Notamacropus eugenii: one gene and its partners. The protein of the gene in region 1 interacts with the protein of each later gene in a biochemical or structural test. Links are inferred from orthologs where the notes say so. Each region holds a gene or a part of one and is shown on either strand. Other genes may lie near its edges.

Evidence for each region.
Region 2: the proteins of RNF40 (region 1) and WAC form a complex in vitro, tested with the Homo sapiens proteins (2 studies listed by BioGRID). The link is inferred for Notamacropus eugenii from reciprocal best matches to the Homo sapiens genes RNF40 and WAC.
Region 3: the proteins of RNF40 (region 1) and UBE2B form a complex in vitro, tested with the Homo sapiens proteins (3 studies listed by BioGRID). The link is inferred for Notamacropus eugenii from reciprocal best matches to the Homo sapiens genes RNF40 and UBE2B.

Annotation. Positions count from the first base shown.
Region 1 is NC_092874.1:377,895,174-377,903,080, forward strand, and holds the start of RNF40 (E3 ubiquitin-protein ligase BRE1B), read right to left. Parts: upstream 3,079-7,907; 5' UTR 2,947-3,078; intron 2,846-2,946; 5' UTR 2,621-2,845; intron 2,536-2,620; exon of another isoform or gene 2,495-2,535; 5' UTR 2,493-2,494; coding exon 2,361-2,492; intron 1,535-2,360; coding exon 1,367-1,534; intron 1,100-1,366; coding exon 958-1,099; intron 697-957; coding exon 490-696; intron 287-489; coding exon 165-286; intron 77-164; coding exon 1-76. Other genes in the region: CFAP119 (cilia- and flagella-associated protein 119), read left to right, coding at 3,294-3,503, 3,825-3,856, 4,130-4,195, 4,414-4,583, 5,389-5,459, 5,663-5,779, 5,893-5,953, 6,043-6,126 and 1 more; PHKG2 (phosphorylase b kinase gamma catalytic chain, liver/testis isoform), read right to left, coding at 7,029-7,313, 7,527-7,652, 7,748-7,901.
Region 2 is NC_092874.1:69,112,344-69,119,604, forward strand, and holds the start of WAC (WW domain-containing adapter protein with coiled-coil), read left to right. Parts: upstream 1-4,183; 5' UTR 4,184-4,274; coding exon of another isoform or gene 4,275-4,289; 5' UTR 4,290-4,291; coding exon 4,292-4,332; intron 4,333-4,674; coding exon 4,675-4,711; intron 4,712-6,448; coding exon 6,449-6,644; intron 6,645-7,261. Other genes in the region: uncharacterized protein, read right to left, coding at 3,377-4,167, 4,275-4,289.
Region 3 is NC_092872.1:340,822,214-340,830,027, reverse strand, and holds the start of UBE2B (ubiquitin-conjugating enzyme E2 B), read left to right. Parts: upstream 1-4,809; 5' UTR 4,810-4,964; coding exon 4,965-5,008; intron 5,009-7,814. UniProt on the Homo sapiens protein: E2 ubiquitin-conjugating enzyme that accepts ubiquitin from the ubiquitin-activating enzyme E1 and transfers it to a E3 ubiquitin-protein ligase. In vitro catalyzes 'Lys-11'-, as well as 'Lys-48'- and 'Lys-63'-linked polyubiquitination.

The DNA of each region.
Region 1 (7,907 bases):
GCAGATCCTCCACGGACGTCTCCATCTCCAGCACCTTGGTCTCTGCTGATGTCACTTTGTCTTGGAGTTCTGAGTACTGTGGAGGTGAAGTAGCAAGGGGTGGGCTGAGTGTTCTCTTATCTCCTTCCCACATTCATCCAAGTGCCCCATGTCAGCAGTCTTACTTCCAGAGAGATTCGGTGGTGCTTTTCCTGCAGTTGGGTGGTCAAGTCCTGTAGTCGCCTGTTGTCTTGTCCAAGTTCCCTGGTTAAAGCTCTAAGTCCTTCTCCGAGGGACTCACACTCCCCTGGAAAGGTAGGGACCAATGAGAGGACAATGGCAACCAGAAGAAAAAGCTAGCAGCAGGAAATTACATGACAAACTAAAGGTTCCTAGAAGGAACTGGGGAACATGTGTAATAAATAGGTCTGCTATGGGCATCTGCAGTCAAATAAAAGCTGATATGCCTCAGTTCTGAACAGGGAAGGGGCTGAGTGCTCCTGGGTTCACCTCTGCTGTGGACTCGATGGCACAGTTCTTCTACTCGACGATGCAGTCGGTCTGAGGCCTCAACTACTCTGGACACTGCTGCCTTGGAGAACTCCATTCGGCCCTGGAGCTGAAGTTCTACCTCTTCGCTACTGCTGGCCCCCAGGGCTGCCACAAAAGCCAAAGCTGGCTCGCTCAGGGGGGGCCGAAGCTGGAGGGTGGGAAGATCTGAAACAGAGATCCAAATAAGATTGTTATATTTGACATGGGTATGCAATAGGGTGTGAAGAGCAATAATGAAAAGGAGAAATGAGAAGCAGGATCTTGCAGAAAGTGTAGTGAGGTGAATCAAAACCCTACCATAACTCCTAACAAATGGGCTTTTTATTGATAACTAACATTTATATGTCACTTTAAAACCTGTACAGTCTCCACTCTGCTTATCACTTTCTCCACAATTTTTCACTATCTCTCCCCTGCTGGTCTCACCTCTTCTGTCTGTGGTTCCTGGTTCAGGCAGAGGGGTCCCATCAAGTTCAGTGCCATCTTGAGCTCCTGGTTCCTCTATCCTAGATAGTAATTCTCCTCGTCCCTCATGCCGTCGGAGTAGAACCTCTACAGTTTCATCCAGCTGTGAGGGTGTCACAAGAGAACATGACTTTTCTGGAGGCTTCAATGGCAAAAATACCTTTCCCCAAAGGGGGACGATGAAAACTCTGAAGCAGAAGTTTAAAAAGATTTCAAGGAAGAAAAAACTGGGGACTGGCGCAGGGTCTGAGGTAGAAGGAACAAGAAAATGAAGACGCATAGCCTAGAAGAGGGAAGGGGATTGATTCTAGGGTTCTGGACTAGCTAAACTTAGGCAAAAAGGCAGGAATCATGGTTGATGGAGACATACCTGGGCCCAATAGCGGTTGACAATGAGCAATGTAGCATCATCGGTGGCCTGGCGCTTTTCTAGCTTTTCAATTCGCTCCCTCAATTCATCTTCACACGCCTGTCGTTGTTCCAGTCGCTCTGCCAACTTTTTGTTCTTGAACTGTAGCACTTTCAGGTCCATCTCCTCCTGTAGAAGGCAGAGTGAGTAAAAGAACATAAGAAAAAAGTGAGAAAGGCTGTAATAAAATGTTAAGAAAAAGAGAAATGGAAAGCAAGGCCCCATAGAAAGTATGGTGAGTCAAAATCTCATTGTAACTTCTAACAAGGGGGCCCCTAATATTGACAACCGAATTTAAACAGCACCCGACAGTTTGTAAAGTGCTTTACATATGATCTTTTAAACTACGTAACAGTCTTGCAAAGTGGGCATTACAAATTTCCCACAAGGGGAAAGTGAGGCTAGAGAAATTGTGACTTGTATCAGAGGCGAGATTCTGAACCATGTCTTCCTGACTCAAAGTCTAGCCTTCTATCAACAAAGCATTAAAAATATTAGTGAAAACATATCAACAAAAAACATCTAGCCATAAAAGTGAGTGAGTCTCTACTGGGTTGGAAGGATAACAGAGGGACAGCTGGAGTGCCACAGTGGCTCTCCCCAAACACTCAAGGAACAAGCAGACCTTCAGTGTTTTGGGCAGGTTTCCCCGCAGAACGTTTACATAAAGTCAGAGACAAGAACTGGAAAAGATGAGAGACGGGTAGACAGACTGTGATCTCTTCTCGGGAGGATGAGATCAGACTTGGATAGGTCCAATTACCTAAATGAGGACAACGCGGGGGCTTTCCTTGTGAGTTAACCTCGCTTTACAGAGCACCCTGAAGCTCCGAGGGCACATAACTGACTTGGCCACGGTCAGGGTTCCAAATACAGTGGGTCTGGGGGGGATGGCGGGGGTGAGGCGTGGGAAGCGGGGTAAGGGTGCGCAGCAGGGGGGAGGGGCCGCACTGACCGTGGAGGAGATGCCTCCCAGGCGGATGGGCTCGATAAGGGTGGTCGTGGTCTTCTCCTCCCGATTCTGCTTCTTCTCCGAGGGGCCCGAGCCCCCATCCCCGGCTGCGCGCTTGTTGCCGGCCCCAGACATGGCTGGAAAGGAGGAGGGCGACCAGAGGCGGCTCCCCCTTCACCTGAGGGAGAGGCGGGGCCCGGGGAGGCTCAGGATCCCAGTGGGGGCGGGGAGGCCCGGCTCCTTCCCGGCTCCTTCCTACCTACCTCCTCCCAGGGAGGATTCAGTTTCTCCAGGCAGCTGCCCAGGTGGCCGGCGGCCTCCTTCCTCCGGTCCTGGCCCCCGACGGTCTCAGGAGACCCCTCACCTGTCCCAGGTTCGGCCGAACGCCGCCATGATGTACGTCACCGGATGTCGCATCGAATGCCTCCAAAGCGCGCAGGCGCCGACGAGTGGGAGGGCACGTAGCTAAATTTGTCTGCTTTCTTCTCCTATTGGTCAGAGACTCATTTAGAACCGCCTCCTGCCTCCGGAACGCTTTCTTACCCAGCAGCCCATCCTCTTCTCCTTGATTGGTGAAACGACCACGTACCATGGCAACCGTCTCCATGCCGCCTTGCCCCTGTCCCGGTAACTCCACCCTCCTCTTTATTGGTAGTAGTGAGGAGACCGCTCATATTCGCGGCGGAAGATACTGCGCTTGCGCAGCATTTCCTCATTTATTGGTCCGCTCTTCCCGCTTGTCACGCCTTTACCCCCGCCCTCGAGCCGCCTTAGCAACCACTGACCCCAGCAACGACGCTTCCCACGGATTGGCTGAACAAGACTATGTCTTGATCTCGATTGGCTGACATGTTCCCACAGAGGGCAGGGCCTCCATGCTCGGACCCGTAGCTTAGGCCCGAAGGCATACAAGGCGGAGGAACAGCGGGTGGCACGATGAAACGAAGAAAATCTAGCGGAGTTTCCGAACTAAATTCTGAACCGGGATTGGGGTTGGACCCGAATTCTGAGGGGTTGCCGGACGCGGCCCCGGATCTGAACCAGGAAGCAGAACTGAATTTGGAGATGGAGAGAGAGCCAAATGGAGAGCCCGAGCCGGAACCTGAAAGAGAGAGCCCCGAGGAGCCGGGCGCCAACCTGCTGCCGGTGAGGGCGGAGCGCGCTTGTTTCTCCCGGAGGCCCAGCCGGAGGTGTATTACCTGAGCTTTCCCGGGGGCGGTACCCCCCTCCTGGGATCCCGGGGAGCGGGTCGGGTCGGCCTTTAGGACTTCAGCCCAGTCTTTGCGAAGAACCGCAGAAAGGACCCATGTCCTCCGTGCACTTCCCGCCGCGTCCCTGGGAAGGTGGGGCGGCCTGTGAACCGCAGGGGAGCTCTCGCGCCCGGGCGGCCTAACCGAGCCACCCGAGAGCGGAGATCCCCAGGCCGCTAACGTAGCAGCGTTGTCACACAACCCTCTTTCTTCGCAGCCGCCACTTCCTGAGCCCCGGATCTGCTTGTGGTGAGCTCGGGGCTGGGCCTGGGCCTGCGGGTGGGGCTGGGCTAGGTGTGGGTAGGGGTGTGAGCAGCGTGGGGTCAGCAGGGAATGGGCCTTAGGATTCTCCTAGTCCAGCGGCTTCATTTTTCAGATAAGGAAAAGGCCCTGAGAGGGCCAAGCAGAAAGCTGATAAAATTTAGGACTAGGGCTCTTGACTCTCAATCCAACTGGCACATGGTGGATTCCTCTTCCTAGCTACCTTCCAACTACCTCCCTTTTTTTCTTTTCCAATGGCAGGAAATACCTGGATGTACATTCTATGGACCTACTGGAGAAAACCACCACCTTGGAAGAGATGCAGGAGTACGGGCTAAGTGAATAAGAGGGTTCAGAAATAGATTACTTCAGAGGTCCTCCCCACCCCAATAATCTGTTTCTTTGAATGGATGAGGAAAACAGGGAGGGAGGGCGCTCACAGGAGGAGGAAAGATACTTTCCTAGGAATACAGGATGGGGTGACTGAAAAGGATCTTTTACTCCTCAACTGGTTGCTCTCTACCCTCACCTTAATCCACCCCAAGGTTGCTGGCAGAACTGCTAGGCCTGGGGCTGACAGACAGGAGCCCAAGGGAGGCAGTGCTACTGGATATGTTTTGCCACACCTTGATCTTCTGCCGGCAACAGCGTTTTTCTCAGGAGCAGACCTCAGCAGCTTGCGCTCTGCTTCAGGACCTCCACAAGGCCTGTGTTGGTGAGTTGGTGAGACCCCCTGGGAGAAGGGCCTTGCAAGGATTCGTCACATCCAGGCTGAGAAAGGTGGGTGGGAGGGGAGAGCCTGAGGTAGGCAAGGTCAGTGATGAGCACCAAATAGTGCTTGCTTGGTCCTGGCTGAGCAACTGTAGTAGTAGTAAGGGCGAGGGTGAGGCTGTCCCGGTGCAGCAGTGAAATGAGCTAGTAACCCCAGAAGCCGTGTCTCTTATTTATCCTGTAGCTATCATTCTGTACATGTTGTCTCCATTAGGTTGCGAGCTTCTTGAGGGTAGAGACTGTTTTTGTGCTCCTCGGTGCCACGGTGCCTGGCACATAGTAGACACTTAATGCTTGTTTGATTTGACTTATGAACATGGTTAACAGTAGAATATTGGGAGGGATCTCAAGAATTTTACTTCAACCTTTTGTAGAAGAGCAAATGGGCTGGGGAGGGGGGCGGACAGAGAGAAATCTCATTTATTCCAGGTGACAGTGACAGGTAGTAGCGAATAGAAATATAATAGCCTTGGAACCAAGAAGCCCTGGGTTCAAGAGTTACCTCTGATACAGACCGACACTGAACAAGTAACCTAAATTCTAACTTCTCAGTTTCTAGGCAACTCTTTTAAGAAGTTGCAGAGAAAGTGCCATCTTGCATAAACAGGGGGTTACCTCATTCCAGAGTTCCATCTATCATTAAGAGTTAAGAGGCCCAGTCCTTATTCCTATAACCTAGGTCATTTTATTCCTTTCTTTCCACATGATTAAGGGAGTTATCACTGTCACTCATTTCTCCTTCTCCACAGCAACTCCCTTGGGCAACGTGGAAGACTGTTTCCGATTTTTCACCAGCCTCCTCTTCTGCCATGGAGTCAGGGTCAGTCCCAATACAGAGGAAATGAGGACTCTGAAGAATTTAAAACATCCCCATCCAATGCTCCATCCTGTAGAATTTTTTATTTCCTTCCTTAACTACCTCAAGTCCTAGGAGGCCAAAGCTATAGTACTTTCTTCCTTTCTTTGTTCTGAAGGTTCTGTAAGAAAAAGAACCAAGCTATATATTCCTACCCTTTCCCACAGCGGCCCCCCTTCAGCATTGACCTATTTGGAGAGGAACAGCTGCTGAGTCTATCAGATTATATCATCAACACCTACTTCCGTCATTTTAAGCTCTACAAGTATGTCTTCACCCCCCAGGTACTGGTCCCACAGGATACACGAAACTTTCCAGTCTATTCCTTCTCATTTCTCTATCTTAACATAGTTGTCATTCCTCTCTCCCTCCTCTCGAACTCCCTCTGCTCTCCCAGGTGCGGTTAGACTTGTCTTTGCGATATATAGGTCTGCCTGAAGTAAAGCCCCCAGCAGATGGTAAGAAGGGTGGAGATTAAACTAGGCCTGGGAAGAGGGTTGGGAAGTATGCCATGGGGCTCATGGCTCCACTCCCTTTCATCTTTCAGTACAAGAGGAAGAAAAGGTAGTGGAGACGGTGTTACCTGTTCCCGAAGAGCCAGAACCAGAAATAAAAACCGAGCAAGAGCCAAGTAAGCAATCAAGGGGCACCTGTTTCCCTAAGCCCTCCCTGGGAAACTGTTCTGTCTTATCCTGTAGAAAAAAATGTCTTCTGCTCCCATTCTTTCTAGGTGGGCTTCCTTCTAGCCAAAGGGAGCTCCTTAAGGACTAAATTGAGAATACTGAATTGAGAACAGTGTATTTCCTACCTCTCATGACATTCCCTGATAAGGCACTGTGATACACCATGCATGAATCCTCTCTCCTCACAATGTGGGACTGAGGTTCTCTTATGTAAAAGGTTCCTTTGGCTCAAGTTTGAACCACTTTTTCAACAACCCCAGGTCCAGGCGATATACTCCGGGATTTCATCACAGCCCAGCTTACCCATGAGCTAGGACAGCTCAGGCAGTTGGTGGAGGAACGGCTGAAGGCTGGCGAGGAGCAGCTCAATAGCAGGCTGGTTGCCCTTGAGAATCCTACCTTGGTCTCCAAGAGTAAAAGCAAAGCCAAGTCACCCCTGGGGTATTTACCCAAATAAAAGCCTGGGCCAGAAGTACCCTGTTCCTTCCCCCAGGTCCCCTTTTGAGCACCTTCTCACTCCATCTTGAGACACAGCTTGTTTCCCAGTGTGCAGGATGATTTATTTCACATGAAAAATGGACAGCAACAGCAAAGATGTGAATATCATTCTCAGCTGGTCCCTTTTCCTTCCATTCAAGTCCTGTAGTCCTGAGCAACAGGGATGGGGGCACAGAGTTGGTCCCCTTTCCAGTAGCATCATCATCAGAGAGCACAAGAGAAGGGAAGAATGCCTTCGGCCAGAGTCCAAGGTGACCGAGTTGATTGAAGCTCTCAGATTGGGAAATCTGTCCTTCCCAAGGCTCTCGGGCTGGGAAGCAGACTTCTGGGGGCTCCACGATGGAGGTCTTAACTACGCAACAACAGATTCATCGTCAGTGTTGGTTGGATCTCCCTCCTCTTCTGGATTGTAGCCCAGGTATGGGCCAGGAGGCCGGTGTTGGAAGAGGGCAGCCCTGTTCTGTTGCTCGCCCTTCTTTACCCAGTGTCCATAGAGGCGGAAGGCACAACTGTCAATGAGTTGCCTCACTGGTCGGAGCCCATATGGGTCTCCTAATAGAGCTCCCTTGCTCATTGGCCTTACCCTGCGACTGCTCAGGGCTACTCGGCCTGCAGCCAACACTGTCCATACTGCTACCTGAGAGGAAAGAAAACCACAAGAAAAACAAGATCACGGACACACTAAAAGTATGAGTTGAGATTTCTGAAGATAGTTGAGTCCCAGCGAAAACAATGTCATCTCTTATCACCTAGGTCCAAGGGAAGGGTAAAGTGAGGTAGATGTGTGGTAGTAGTGGGTTTTGTTTTCCCAGGAACCTCTGTCTTGTAATATCTGCTCTCTGTTCCTTACCCTGAATCGCTGGATGGGAGAAAGGCTCCAGGCCTGGCTACCCTCACAGCGTTGGAAGAAGGGATGCTGCAGGGCCTGCTCTGCAGTCAGTCTTTCCTCAGGATCCACCTGGAGTAGCCTTGAGATCTAAGAGAGGGGTAGGGGCCATGAGACACTTCTTCTCCTGACTCCTGAACTACTACTGCATTTCCCCCACCCCTTTGAGCCTTTGATTTACTCACCAGGTCTTTGACAGTTGCTGATCGGTCATCCCATTCTGGTGACCTGAACTGGTATCGGCCCTCCATTATCATTCTTAGCATCAGGATCTGGCGTCGATGCCAGAATGGGGGAGAGCCAGCCAGGAGTGTGAACAGGATCACCCCACAGGCCCAGCTGTGA
Region 2 (7,261 bases), about 310 Mb from region 1:
TTTTATGGTTCTTTCAAGGTCAACAAGGGGAGGGGAGAGAGCATTTACTGATCACTCTGCCATTTTGGCTCCCAGAAGTTCAAGTAGATGACTTACAGACATTTAATCTGTGGGCTGATGGTCTCTGGTACAGCTGCTGCAGATAGCTGGGGCTCCATCTGCAGCTCTCACTCGTTCTGCTTGACTCTCGCCCTAAGCTGCTATCCTGCTGTGCTGCTGCTTCCTCAGGCCAGGGCTTTCCTGCTCAGCCCTGCTGCAGTCTGGAGCATTGCACTGTGTGCTGTATGCTCTTCTACCCCTGTGGAACAGGACCTTCCAGTCTGTCCTGGGCTGTGAAACGGCCAAAGTTTGTCTCCTATTGGATTCTGCACCTCCAAAATTTGATCAGATTCTCTTTTTAGAGGTATCTGAGGGAGTTTGGCTAAGAGCTTAGGTGAGTAGTTGCTCTCACTCTGCTGTGCTGGCTCTGCCTCTGTGGTTCTAAAATAGATATGAACATGGTTATCAGCTGTTAAGCTCAGACTAAAAAAAATAAAATGAAAGAGAAAGAAATAAATGAGAAGATGACTGGTGGAAGCAAGATAAAGGGAATAGAATTTACAATGTGTGTGTATATCCTTTGTTGCTGAAGAAGACCATGCCATCAGAGAAATGACATGACTTGCATTTGACTTTTGTTTTGAGTGAGGGAGGGCTGTGTAGGTCACTAGCCTCACTTCTCCTCCAGAGCCATCTGAATCCAGTGACCAGATATTCATTAGGATGACTGGAGATGACCCAAGATGAGGCAGTTGGGGTTAAGCGACTTGCCCAAGGTCACACAGCTAGTGAGTGTCAAGTGTCTGAGGTGAGATTTGAACTCAGGTCCTCCTGACTCCTGCACTGGTACTCCATCCACTGTACCACCTAGCTGCCCTAGAATTTACAATATAAAAAGATGGATTAGCCTTAGTGAAAAATAGGTATACTTCTTTTGTGATCCAAGTAAAAGAAAAAGATTATTGATTTTGAGGAATCCAAGGAGGCTGAGGGAGCTTATCTGAGATGGCCTCAACCTTCCCAGAAAAATAGGACAGCTAGGTCACCAGCTGTAATGGAAGTGGTAGGTGGGGGAAGGTAGGCATGGACAGGCTGATTTTAGAATACCCCATGCTAGGGGTATAATAATAATATAATATAATACAATCTGTTTCATAGATCAAGAAGTCTAAATCCTTTGTCCTTGGGTCACACAGTCAGTACTAGAAGTGTCCATTCAAGTTTTCCTGCCCTCATACAGGATCTTAGCTGTTCTCCTGGAGGATTGCTTTTTTTTTGCAAACCAAGGCTGACTTACTAGAAAGCATCTTGCTGCTGCTTTGCCTGCTAGATCCTTATTATCACCAAGATTTTGCAGCTGCTGTGAATCTTCACCCTCCTACATTCAAGTTTTCTCCCTCTAACAGAATGAGCTCACGGGGAGGGAGGATCATCTCTAGGGAGTGGATGGAGCACTAGGAGGAGAGTCAGGAAGACTAAGAGTTCAAATCTGGCCTCACATACTTAGGAGCTGTGGGACCCTGGCCAAGTCCTTTAACTTGTTTGCCTCAGTTTCCTGATCTGTAAAATGGGGACAGTAAGGATTGTTGTGAGGAGGAAATGAAGTATTTGCAAAGTGCTTAGCAAAGTGCCTACCACATTGCAGGCACCATATAACTGTTAGCTAGTGTTTAGCACAGGGATTAGCACTTAATGAATACTTTTCCATTCCATTCCAAAAGCTGATCTAAGTAAAAGCCAAGAATTTTCTTTTGGAAACGAAACTGAGAAAAAGTAAAACTATACATAGCAATTATGAACACAGACAACAGGTTTTTATGACTTATGCGGAGTAAGGATCCCTGTAAATGGAGAAATTCCACTAATATTGTGTGGCGCAAATTACTGACATTTATATAATGCCTGATGTAATATATATTATTAACATAATGTCTTATATATTATCTTATAGAATAACTTCTATTTTAACCTCTCAGCTCTTTGTGATGGGCACAATGGTTATTCTCACTTTACAGATCAGGAAACTGAGGTTTAGCAGTTAATGATCACGCAGCAAATGAGTGTTCGGGGCTAAAGTGGAACTGAGATACTGTAAACTTCAGGTCCTTGACATTCTTTGTAAGCTCCTGGAGGGCAGAGAACCTTTATTTTTACTTTTGTATCCCCAGCACCTTGCCCAGTGCCTGACCCACAGTGACTGCCCATAAACGCTTGCTGATTGACGCTCCTGCCCTGGTTAGATTGGATAAAGTAGAAGATAAGCTAAAATACGGAGGCTAAATGTCAGTAACTGGAGGACAACTTGTAGCAAGGTGAGACTGGCAACTTTCCAAAAGGCAACATACGGTATCGATTTTTTTACTGGTACCTAGGCAGCTAGCGGCTCATGGGGTGAGCACCGGGCCCAGAGTGAGAAGACCTAATTGAAGCCCATTCTCAGACAAGTCTCCCCAACTGCAAAAGGAGGATGATGACAGCACCCACCTAGCTCCCAGGCAGCCTTGGGGCAGCGTATAAATCCTGGCTGTTCTCACTGCCTGGGTCTCTGCCAGGCCCCGATGCAAAACCGTAAAGCAAAATTTCTTTGCCTTAATATTGCGTCTCCTTTCCCACTACGTTCCAGGGCCCACTCCAGAACTGCTTAGTAGAATAACTTTCGGATAATTTTTCCAAATCAGGGAAGCAGAAAAAAAGACTCCCCCCTCCATCCCTGCTGCCCAACAGAACGGGAAATCCCAGGCCTCACGCTCCCAAAGAACCAATGGCGCGCGCCCCAAACACAGGCTGAAAATGCCGAACGTTCAGAAACACAATTCCAGACTGGATTTTATTTTTTCCCAACACATACGTCTAGAATAAGAGGAGCACTGGAGGTGAAGAAGGAAGACCAACCGGTGGGAGGAAAGCCGGGGGTGCGACTCGCATAGTTCTCGGAGGACGCAGGGGAGGCCGGCAGGGGAGGCCGGCAGGGCAGGGCCGGACCGAGGCCCCCGGCGCCGGCGGGGTACAAGGCCCGAGCCTACAGACTCCCCCGGCTGCGGGGTCGGACTGGCCATGGCGGGGCCTCAGTCCGACCCTCGTCTCCTTCCCTCCATACAGGTACCCGCATAGGCCTCGAGGCCTCCCTTCCCTCCACGCCACCTAGGGCGGACCCGGAGGCCCCGGGCGGAAGCCCCGGCGCCGACCTCGGCTTTCCTATAAATCCCTGTAGCGTAAGAGCGGCGGGGGGCTCTAAGCCGGACACAAATGTCCTTCTGGCCCTCGGGGTGAGCGCGGTCCGTACCCCCTTCCCTCCCGCAGTAGGTCCGCTCCCGCCCGCCCGGGCCGAGGCACCCACCAGCCCCTCCTCCGAGGGCAGCCGCCTCCACGGCGGGAAGCCGGTATCGAACTTCGGGGCGCACCACTGCCGCAGCAGCTTAGGCTTCCTTCGGACACACACAGAAGGCGACCAGAGGCCTCCGGCGCGCTCCGAGGAGAGGCGCAGGGGCGGAGGGGGAGGGGAGAGAGGAAGGAGGAGGAGGACGTACGCATGGGGAGGGAAGCGGCGGAACCGGAAGGAGCCGACGGGTCGCGAAGAGGCGAAGTACGCCGAGTTCGGCGTTCGGGAACAGGGAAGGGAGGGGAGACGGAGGAAGCGCTAGGGGAGGAGCGGCTTGGCGGAAACTGCCGATGTTTTCCGAAGGCGGTGGCGTCCGAGTTCCCCGGATGTAGTTGGAGGAGCGGCGGCAGCGGCGGCGGCGGCACCAACAGCGGCAGCGGCGGCGGCGGCGGCGGCGGGAGGAGGAGGAGGAGGAGGAGGCGGCAGCGGCGACGGCGACGGCGGGGGGAGGAGGTGGAGGAGAAGGAAGAGGAGGAGGAGGAGGAGGAGGGGGCGGCGGAGGAGGAGCAGGAGGAGGGGAAGGCGGAGGAAGCCGTCGCTCTCCGCTGGGCCGAGCCGGTCGCGTCTTCTTTCTCCCCCCTTCCCCCCGGTGCGCCGCTGCCGCGGTGTAGTTGGCGCCGCTGCCCCCGCCGAGAGCGAGCGAGCGAGAGACGGACGGAGCGAGCGGGCGAGCGAGCGGGAGCGAGCGTGTGCGCGGCGCCGGGGGAGGGCCATGGCCCGAGAGCGCCGGCGCCAGTAACGGAGCGGCGCTAAGACCCGCTGAGGGGGTGCTGGCCGCCGCCGCCGCCGCTGCCCGTCCGCCCGCCCGCCCGCCTCCCGCCTCCCGCGGCCCTCTCCCCCCCTCCCCGACACACACACACAGGCCGGGCATTGATGGTAATGTATGCGAGGAAACAGCAGAGACTCAGTGATGGGTAAATCCTCTCTCTCTCTATGTCTGTCTCTGGCCGGGCTGGGGCCGGGCCGGGCCGCGCCGGGGGCGGCGGGCGGGGAGGGGGATGTTCCTCCTTATCGAGCTCGGGCCGAGCCGCCATTTTTGTTGTTAACCCCGATCCGGGCCGGCCTGCGAGGAGGCGGCGGGGGCGGCCGCGGGCCGGGCCGGGCCGCCGGGGGCTCCTGGGCGCCGCCGCCCCGCGGCCGTGCGGTCGGCCCGGGCCCGTGGGCGGCCGGCCTCGGGTCCTGGGGGGCGGGGGGGGGTTCTGCTCGCCTCTCCCTCTCGGGGTGTTAATGTCGCTGTCTGTCTTCCTGTTTTTCAGCTGTCACGACCGGAGGGGGGACTCGCAGCCCTACCAGGTACCAGCCGAGTCCTAGGGGAGGGACGGCCGGGGAAGGCGGAGGGAGGGACCGACTGCTGCTACTCGAGCTTAGGCTTCAGCCGTCGGCGCAGGCCCTGCGGGGCAACGAACCCGAAACCAGCCCCCCGGAACCCCACGAAAGCCGGGCTCGGATTGGTGGAACGACTGCCCCCGGCCCGCATGGGGGGGCCCCGGAGAGCCCACGAGCCCAGCCCGGATATTTTAGCGGGGAGGGCAGAGAGGGACTAGTTTAAATTTTGGGGGGAGGGCGGTCTTCGTGAGTGGCAGCCTGCTGAAATTTTAAAAAGGCAGCGAGTTGATTCTCTTTGCTATGGGAGTGTACCAAAAGTCTGAACCCCAGTCCGGAGTGATTTCACTGCCTGTTCAGAGTAGGAGCCAGCCCTGGACACTTGGGAGCTATGTCCTGAGGAGACATCGGGGATTCGAGGGGTTTTGGTTCCTTTTCAGGGCAGCTCTTGACCAGTGTCTCATCAGAAATTACGTAGGACAGTCCTTGTGGTTCTTTGAAATGGATGACTTTTCAAAAGCTATCAAAAATGGATGACAGCTGTCAGAGGACACTTAGGGGTCTAAATGAGAGGGATCTGCAGATCCCTCAGCTAGTAATCCTCTTATTCAAAATTTCTTGACTTCTTGTGCGTTTGTACCTCAAACCAAGTAAGTTACAACGCACTACAGTGTGTCATACAGCATAATATTTGTTTTGAAGATGTTAAAGGATAGGTCATGTTTTCCTTGATATAATTGCACATTATAATAGCCTGAAACGACCTGCTTAATTCTCTAAGGAGAATGTAAGTCTGGTTCTATTACAAAGGCAGCACTTTTTCAAAGTTATCCTCTGCATTTTAATTTACCTTTAGAATTAAATATTTAATAACGTAGGATCCCAGAGTTAGAAAGGAACCTTAGGTTATTTAGCTTTAAAATTAAGTATTTAGTATCATAAGATCCCAGAGTCAGAAATTAAGTTACGGTTAATTTAAGGTTAATTCTGATTCCTTTTTTTTTTGCATGTACAGAGATGAAATTTGTGATTAAAGAGCTTCTTGTAAATGAAATCCATTGGCGCCTGTTTAGATACATAGATGAATTTTTAGGGCAGAAATGGATGACCTAGTACTCAACTATCGATTTCTTATGCTTTAACAATCCCTAGAAATGGATAATGGCTAAATTGGGTGGATAAATAGATACCAAAATGTCCAAATAATTTGGGGAATATAGACAATAGGAAATCACCATGAAACAGTAGACAGAATGCTGATAGTATATGATCAGAGGATTTAGGTTCGTATCTCAGTCTGTTGCTTATTACCTCTGTGGCAGCAGCATGCCACTTAAACTATCCTGAACTTCTGTTGCCTCATTTATAAAATGAAGTAGTGGGACTATATGACCTTTGAGTCTCTTTTGACTCTCACTGTATAGTATTATAAGGTCATTTCTGTCCCCATCCCATCTTTCCCAGAAAGGTTTATTAAGGAATGATGCCCCAAGATCGTTTCAAGCAAATATTCTGAAATATTTAAATGAGTGATTAGAGATCTCATTATTTTGAATCATTGCTATTTATAGACACATTGACTTCTTGAATCATGTTTGATTAAAATTGATGTTTTAAGTCATAAAACTTAACGAAATAAATTTCATGTTGTCATAATTAAGGACTCAAGTTAAAGGTCTGTGCTTTTCTTTGTATGATATTTTGTAGGCTCTTAAATATTCATCGAAGAGTCACCCCAGTAGTGGCGATCACCGACATGAAAAGATGCGAGACACCACAGATCCTTCACCACCAAATAAAATGTTACGACGATCTGATAGTCCTGAAAACAAATATAGCGACAGCACAGGTCACAGTAAAGCAAAAAGTGTGCATACTCACAGAGTTAGAGAGAGGGATGGTGGTAAGTAGTTTTACTTACAAAAATTTTGTACCTATTGAAATTTTTTTTTTTTTTTGGTACGGTCAATCAAAATCAATCTATGAAATAGAGAACAGAATTATGTTATTAGTGGTGAACTCTGCCACTTTTATCTCATCAGTGTTCTTTATTTTTTGGTCAGAATATTTTGATCCTTTAACTTAATCTAGAAGTAAGATGTACATTTAGAAATTGAATTGGCTTCACCAAGAAGATTCTTAACGACTATAATAGTATTATTGGTTGGGACATGAGGAGAGGTTAGGAATTGACTGTGGGTGTATATAGAAAAGAGCTCTGATTATTTTGGAATCAGGAAAATAAATAGAACCAATCTTTTCACATTTTTAAAAAAGGCATAAAATAATTTGAATTTGATTGTTTTTTTTAATTGCTCATTTTATTTAAAAGCATTCAAGTTCATATCTTTCTGATAACTTTTAAATCCTCAGAGGCAATTGAAAACCCAAGTTTGAGATATCTGTGGCAAATGTAAGCAATTGGTAACACTGAAAGTATTTCCTAGCTTTCTTTTCCACTTTCCTCATGACCCTGGAGATATCTTCATATTTTTCCCCTTATAGATAAAAATTTTTGTG
Region 3 (7,814 bases), on another chromosome or scaffold:
GCTTGTACGTAGTAGTCTGAGATGGGTTTTGATCTTAGGTCGTTCTGACTACAAGTCAAGAGCTCTATCCACTATGACACCTAGCCGCCTTGATTAACACCATTATTCTTCAATATATACTAGTATTGTTAGCTATAGCAATGGCAAGAAAAAGAAATGGAGAGAATAAGCACAGACAAAGAGAAAACAAAGTGATCATCTGCAGATGATATGAGGGTTTACTTAAAGAACACTAGCAATTCAACTAAAAACTAACTGAAACAATTAACAACTTTAGAAAAGTTGCAGGGTATAAAATAGGCCCACATAAATCATTAGCATTATTTTACATTACCAACAATATTCAGCAGAAAGAGCTATAAAATTTCATTTAAAATAATTACAGAAGATATAAAACAGTCTACCTGAAAAGACATATGCATCAAATATATGAACATAACTACAAAACACTCTTTATACAAATAAAGACAGGTGTAAATAATTTGGGAAATAGTATTTGCTTATGGGTAGGCTGAACCGATATAATCAAAATAACAATGCTACCTTAATTAATTTACTAATTCAGTACTATAGCAATTAAACTATCAAAGGGTTATGTTATAGAACTAGAAAAAATAATAAAGTTCATCTGGAGAAATAAAAGTTCAGCTCTTTGACTGAATCCAAACTTCACAGAACAAATTCCCTTAATAAAAAGATTTGTTCTTAAAACTGGAACTCAGTCAAAATGCCCCACCTAAGAACCCAGAAGGCCACATGTGGCCTCAGGGCCTCAGGTTCCCCACCCCTAGAATCTCAAGTGAATTGATAGGGAAAAAAAAAAAAGAGGAAAAAGAGGGCCTAGCAGCACCAGATCTCAAACCACACTACAAAGCAATAATCATCCAGACAATTTTGTACTGGCTAAAAAATAAAAAGGTTGATCAGTGGGACAGATTACATAAACAATATACAAAAGCAAATAAGCACAATAACCCAGTGCCTGATAAATCCAAAGATTCCACTGACTGGCGTAAGAAGTCACAATTTTACAAAAAGTGTTAGGAAAAATAGAAATCAGTCTGGCAAATACTAGGTATAGACTGGTGTCCTATGTCTACCAAGATAAACTCCAAATGGATATATAACTTAGACGTAAAGGGTGATGTCGTAAGTAAAATAGATAAACAAGGAAAAAATTTCCTGTCAGGAAATAAGAGGAGTTCATGATGAAATAGATAAAAAAAAAACCACAGCAATTTTGATTGCATAAAATTACAAAGTTTTGCACAAACAAAACCAATGGAATTAAAATGTGAAAAGAAGGAAGTAAATGGGGGGGAAAAAACCTTTGCAGCAATATTTTGTGATAAAATTCCCATTTCTAAGATATACAGGCAACTGATTCAAATTTATAAGAAAAAGAGTCATTCTTCAACTAACGGAGTCAAGGTATATGAACAAGCAGTTTTCAGAGGAGGAATCAAAGCTATCAATAGCCATACTTAAAAAATACTTTAAATCACTAATAATTAGGGAAAGACAAAACAACTCTGAGATTCTACCTCATACCCATCAGATTGGCAAAGGGGACAAAAAATAGGACAAGTCTTTGACGCTTTGAAGGATCTGTGGTCTTATTAGTAAAGGTGCTCTCTTGGAGGAATCCATTCCTCCACATCTTCTCATTCTGTGCAGTTCTTGCCTTTGTCTTTCAGTAAATCTCCTACAGAGAACCCAGTGACTCAAATATATCTGATTTTCTAGTCCTGCCCTCTCTTGAGCTCTAGTCACATCTCCAGCCACCTTTGGGGTATCTCTACTTTGAAATTCTGCCAGCATTTCAAGATCAGTATATCTAAAACTTCACTATTTCTGTCTGTTGCACCACTATTTATTGAGTGTTCTATATTCATAACCTTAGGCTTATCTTTAATTCTTCTCTCTTCCTCACCTTATATTCCATCAATTATCAGGCAGTACTATCAAAGCCTACCTTCACATCTTTTGAATCCCTAATCTCTCTTGTCTTGCACTTTGGTCCCATATCACCAGTTGCCTGCTAGCCATCTCCATCTGGATGCATCTCAAACTCAACGTGTCTAAAATATAAGTCATTATTCCCCCCTCCCTCCAAACCCTTCTCTGGTTCATAGATTATAGATTTGATTTAAAGGCCATCTTAAGTCAAACTATTCTTTTTTGCAAGCATGGAAAATAAGGCACAGAGAGGTTAGTGTCTTGTCCAAATCCAAGATTTGCACCCTTATCTGATTCCAAACCCAGCACTCTTTTAACTATAACACAATGCCTCAGTATCCCTGTTTCTACTAATAGTATGACCATTCTTCCAGTCACTCAGGTTCATGGTCTGGACTCTTTCTTCTCCCTTAATCCCCATATCCAATGAGTTGCTAAGTCTTGTTATTCCCATTTCCTCACCTCACTCATATCCATCCTCTCTGCTTGACTCATACAGCCTCTTCCCTAGTTCAAGCCCTTATCACCTTTTGTTTTGTTTATAATAGTTTCCCTAATTGTATCCCAATACTTTCAGTCTCTCCCTTTTTTAATCCATTCTCAATGCAGCTGCCAAATTCACATTCCTAAAACTCATCTCTTGTCAACCCCCTACTCAAGAATCTTAAATGCATCTTTGTCTCCAGGATAAAATGCAAAATCATTAGTTTGGCATTTGCAGCCCTCTGCAATATGGTTCCCACTTACATTTCTAGTTTTCTTTCATCTTATTCCCCTTACCATCTCCAATCCAATCAAACCGATCTACTAGTAACTGAAGCAAATACTCCAACTTTTATCTCCATCCCTTTGCACAGCTGGTCATCCTGTTTCTAAAGGGCACTTCCTCTATATCTCCGTCTCAGAGACTGAATTTCCTTCAAAGTACAGCTCAGGTGCCATCTCATACATAAGGCCTTTTCTAATAGCACTCTTTCCACCTTGAAATTATTTTGTATTCAGTACTCAGTCAACTAGAATTTATTAAACACAACCTACGTGCTAAGCACTGGGGATACAAAGGAAGGCAAAAACAAAAAAAACAATCCCCTCTACTCCTAAGGAGTTCACAGTCTAAATGGGGAAACATGTAAGTAACTACATACAAACAAAATATAGACAGGATAAATTGGAGGTCAGCTGAGTGAAGACATTAAGATTAAGAAGCACCAGGAAGGCTTCTTGCAGAAGGTAGGACTTTAGCTAAGACTTCAGGAAAGCCTGTGAAGCTAATGGAAGGAGACTAGAAGAGAGCTTTCTAACCTTGGGGGGGACAAGCCAGTGAAAACTGGATCCTACCTTTATTTACTAAGTGTCTTTCAAAAAGTCTATTATAAAAATCTATTAATAAGATAGACTCTGTTTATATCCTTTATCATTTCCAGGCTCCTGATAGATGGAGAATTCCACTGGGACGCGGATTATACCGTAATTATCTTTGTATCTCACAGGGATCTTAGTTAGCTTTGCATCTCTCCTAGCACCTAGCATGTGCCTTGCACACAGTACTTATTAACAAACAGTTCTTGAACAAATGAAAAACACAAGACACAAAACACAATATTATATCAAATGCCAACCTTCTATCTTCCGACTTTTTTTTTTTCAAAGCAGAATCAAGGCTTTCTTATAGACAAAATCCACGAATTGTGATACAAATCCTCGAATGAAATAGTGCTCATTCAAGAAAAAAAGACATTATGCCTGAAATTCTAAGATAATTTGAAAACACACACACGCACACACCACACACACACCCCCCCACGCACGCACCTCCCTGGGGTTTCCAGCTCCAGAATGACCTCAGCGCAGAACAGAAGATGTCCACGCACACTGGGACATTTTATTCTTCTTTGTTGGAAGGGCGTACAAAAGCTCTTCCTCTCTACTACCGCCCTACAGGGGGATACACCGAAATCACTTTTCAACAGCCTGAGAATATTTTTATTCTGGCCTGGTTTTTCTTTTTTGGGGGGAGGGGAGGGCTAAGCCTTAAATTATATTGACACTACATTAAAGATTTTAAAGAAGCCCCTGGCTCAGGGCGGGTCCGTGTCCACCTTCTGAAAACTAACCAACCTAGTTAAATTTGGAGTCTCGATCAGCAGGGGGCCGCTAGGCAGGGACTTGTTCCGCCCCAGGAACTCTCAAGAACAAGAGGGCAGCGACGTGCGCCCGGAGAGGGAGTGCCCGCGACGACCAAGTCCCCAGGTCTTGAAGGCAAAGAGAAGGGCAAGCCTTCATTCCGACCGAGCAGTGCGTCTGCTACCTCCTGACCGGCGGCAGGACAACAGCCGCGGCTCCCGGTGGGGGACGAGGCAGCTCTGTTCCCGAAGAGAAGGTTCTTCCATCACTGCGGAACTGACCACTCTCCTCGCAACTTCACGGTTCCAGTACCTTCTCTGAAACAGTTCGGCCTGCGTCACAGGGCCACGTGGTCTAGTTCCCTCCCCACCCCCATCTGAATTGTTGACAGCATCACCGAGTATCACGTGATCTGACGTCATCGTCCTTCCTCTAGCCCGAAATCTCAGGAGCTAGCTGCATCACCCTCTCCAGCATCTCCGACTCCTCCCCACTCGGACGAGTCTAAGATTGTATCAAGGGGGAACTAGTACAGAATTGCTCGTGATACGGCTTCTGTTACTTACTATGCAAAGGAAATGAGGCCAATATAAGGAATATTGCATTGAAAAATAGTGATACAGTCAAAGACTCTATATTTTTCTGACGAAGGATGCAGAATTCGTTCAGACTCCTCCCTTTCCTCCCCCTCCTACAAAGTCGCCATAGTGGTACAGGCGGAGGGCGGAGGGATCTTTTGTGCAGCGGAGGAAGAAGTCATTGCGGGTTGTTTGTGAAGCTTTGGCGGTGGCGGTGCTCCTGAGTGCTACGGCCGGGGGGGTGGGGGGTGGGGAACTCGGGACTCTTTTCTCTCACACAGACCGCGGGGGAGCGGGGGGATCATGTCGACCCCGGCCAGGAGGAGGCTCATGCGGGACTTCAAGCGGTAACTGCCCCCAGCAGATGTCCCTGTCCTATTTTCTCGCTGTCTTCCTCTCTTCCCCGAAGCCTTTGGGCAGAAGAGGAGACTGGAGACCAATCCCGGCGCGGCCAGGCCGCAGGGCACCTTCCTTTTAGCTCCGACGCGGCCTGGCCTGTCTTAGATCCCGGGTTGGGGCTGGGGGTCGGGCCGGGTTTGAGGCGGCTCCTCACCGGAGCTCGCTGCACTCTCTCGTCCTTCGGTTCCAGGCCTAGGGAATTCCCATTTTTTCCTTCCCTTTCCTAGGTGAAAACGGAGCTGAGGGTGGGGGCAGGGGACTGCACAGGCCTCCAGCGTCGCCCACTTCTCCATCCCCATCCGTAGAAGGGGGCGTCCGACACCCCCGGGTTTGGGGAACGGAGGAGGGCCTGTCCGAGCCTCGTTTGTTTTTGTAATAGAGGAAGGTGATCGGACACCCCCAGGTTTGGAGCCGGGGGGAGGGGGAAGGGGAAGGAGCTGACTTCTTTGCCTGCCTGGGTTTCATTTGTTATTTTAATGAGGCGAATGTCGGGTGACACCCCCAGGTTTGTACGGGAGGGGTTATGTCTCTTCTTTCCCCCCCACCTCCTTCCTCAGGTTCTATTCTTTTTGTATGCCCTAGCGGGGTGTCCTTTTCTCTGGAGGAGGCTCCCCTTCCCCCAACCGGAATCTTAATTCTGTGTTTTTCTAATTGAATCCCACATCCCTTCTCCCGTGTTGGGGCTGGGCCAGAGCTACCCCTGTCCCTTCCGTGAGGGTGGAGAAGTTGGTGGAAGCTGGAGTCTAATCCTCTTCCTCTCTTCCTCCTCTTCCTCCTCTTCGTCGCCCCCCTCGGGAAAAAAGGGCAAAAACAAAAACAACCTTGCTGGGTGCTGAGCCAGCCCAAACCTCTGGTACCAGTCCTTGGAAGAGCTAGTTAGGGGTCTGTCGGGGATCAGCTCATTCTCTCCAGATATTCCATTTAGTTACGTGGAGAAATGTTGGATAAATCTTTGAACTAGTAACTTTTAAGGTTAGAAGAAATGCCTTTCCTGCCAGTACTGAAGGTGACAAGCACCTGGGTCCCCTGTAGTACATTTAGATTTTATTTTAGGATTTTTATCTGTTGATAAGGATGGGATTTTTGACAAAGTAGATTTTTTTCCAAGTCATTTACTGACCTTTGCAAACACTTGGAAGATACATAGGAATATAAGTAGTGAGGAAATGTCTTACTTGAGCCTTATCTTTTCCTCAACATTTTTTTCTTTTTGCTTAAAAGAGAAGTGTTTTGAGATGACTTCTTTGATCTGGAGAAACCTGCGTTGTTTGTCACAAAGTTATTTTATTAGTTACTTAAAAATTAGAGTGCTTTCACCACACCCTTTTAAGTTCTCAGGTGAAGTGCTTGAGAGATTTTTTTCCTTAAGTATGAACCAGTTCTGTCTCTTCTTCAGACTGAGCTGTTCTGGGTGCCTTTTCCCTAGGGGAAAATGGAATGATTCTGCTTAAATGCTACTAAAAATTTTTTTAGTATGAAGATAAATACTTACGTGCAAAGCATTGTACAATTTGCAACGATATTTTACAAGTAAAACTTTATAGCTTTATAGCCCTGCATTGAAGCTTTTAAAAGAGGGTTACCTGAATAAGGGGCAAAGTAGGTGGTTGTTAACTCCATATCCTATTTGTCTTTGTTCTCTTATTGGAAGGTAACACACTTGATGAACTTTGCAGAAAAATTAGAAGAGTCACCTGTATAATGTACTCAGCTTTTGGATTTTTTTTAACATCTTTAAAACATTTTATGGTTCAGATATTTCATTGGTTAGTTTTTTTTGACAATTACCTTAAGTAATAGGTTTCCAACTTGGGTTCCAGGTACTGAGCATTTTTAAAAATTTTGCTTTGGATACAGCTTAATTCTGGCAACAAAACTTTTTATGTACTACATTTCTAGATGCCAAAAAAAAATTGTACCTTTAGGAGCTTGCTGGAGTTAATTAGCAAGAAGTTGTGGCCATTATGGAAGATATATCAATCCTGCCACTTAGCTTGCTGATTGTCTACTGAACTTGCTTAAGAGGCTATGATGTTTATCCATAAGGGGGGGCGGGTAGTGAATTGGAAAGTGTCAATTATAAAAGGGAAATAAATATGCACTACTTGCATATGAAAACTTCAGCTTCCTGTAGTTGCACTGTCCTTGTTGTCCATTGGGCGCTGTTGTTCACCAGCGTTGTATCCTGGGGTAGCTTCATTATTCTGAACTTTGACTTGCTTCTTCAGGAACCTTACTCTTCTTAAAAGCCACACCTTGCTGAGCAGTTGAATCTACCCTTTAAACGCTGGCTATTTAGAAACTCTTTACTAGACTCTAACCACCTAATTAATTAGCTGCTTGACCCTGGAAGAAGCACTTAATTTGTTTGAGCCTCAGTTTCTTGTCTAATTGTAGAATAATGGTAGGTACATTAATTTGTAGTGCCCATTAGTGTTAGGGGGATTAAATGATATAGATGTATATGAACCGATTTGTCCATAAAGCCTTGTTCATTCCATTTGTTGCCATTTTTGTGTAGCTGTTTTGTTTAGAATCATAGTGCTCACAAAGTCATTACTAGTGTAAGAGACTACTATTTACTATTTACAACTCCATCCTGCACCATTATGTACAAAATAGCCTTTTCAGTTGTGAGAGCTGTGAGATAAAATTTTAAAAGGTAATGTATCATTTAGTGATACTATACTCAGAAAAAGCATTGTTACCTTTTCTTCTAATCTAGGCTTTCTTGTACTTGCAACCTCTGTTTGG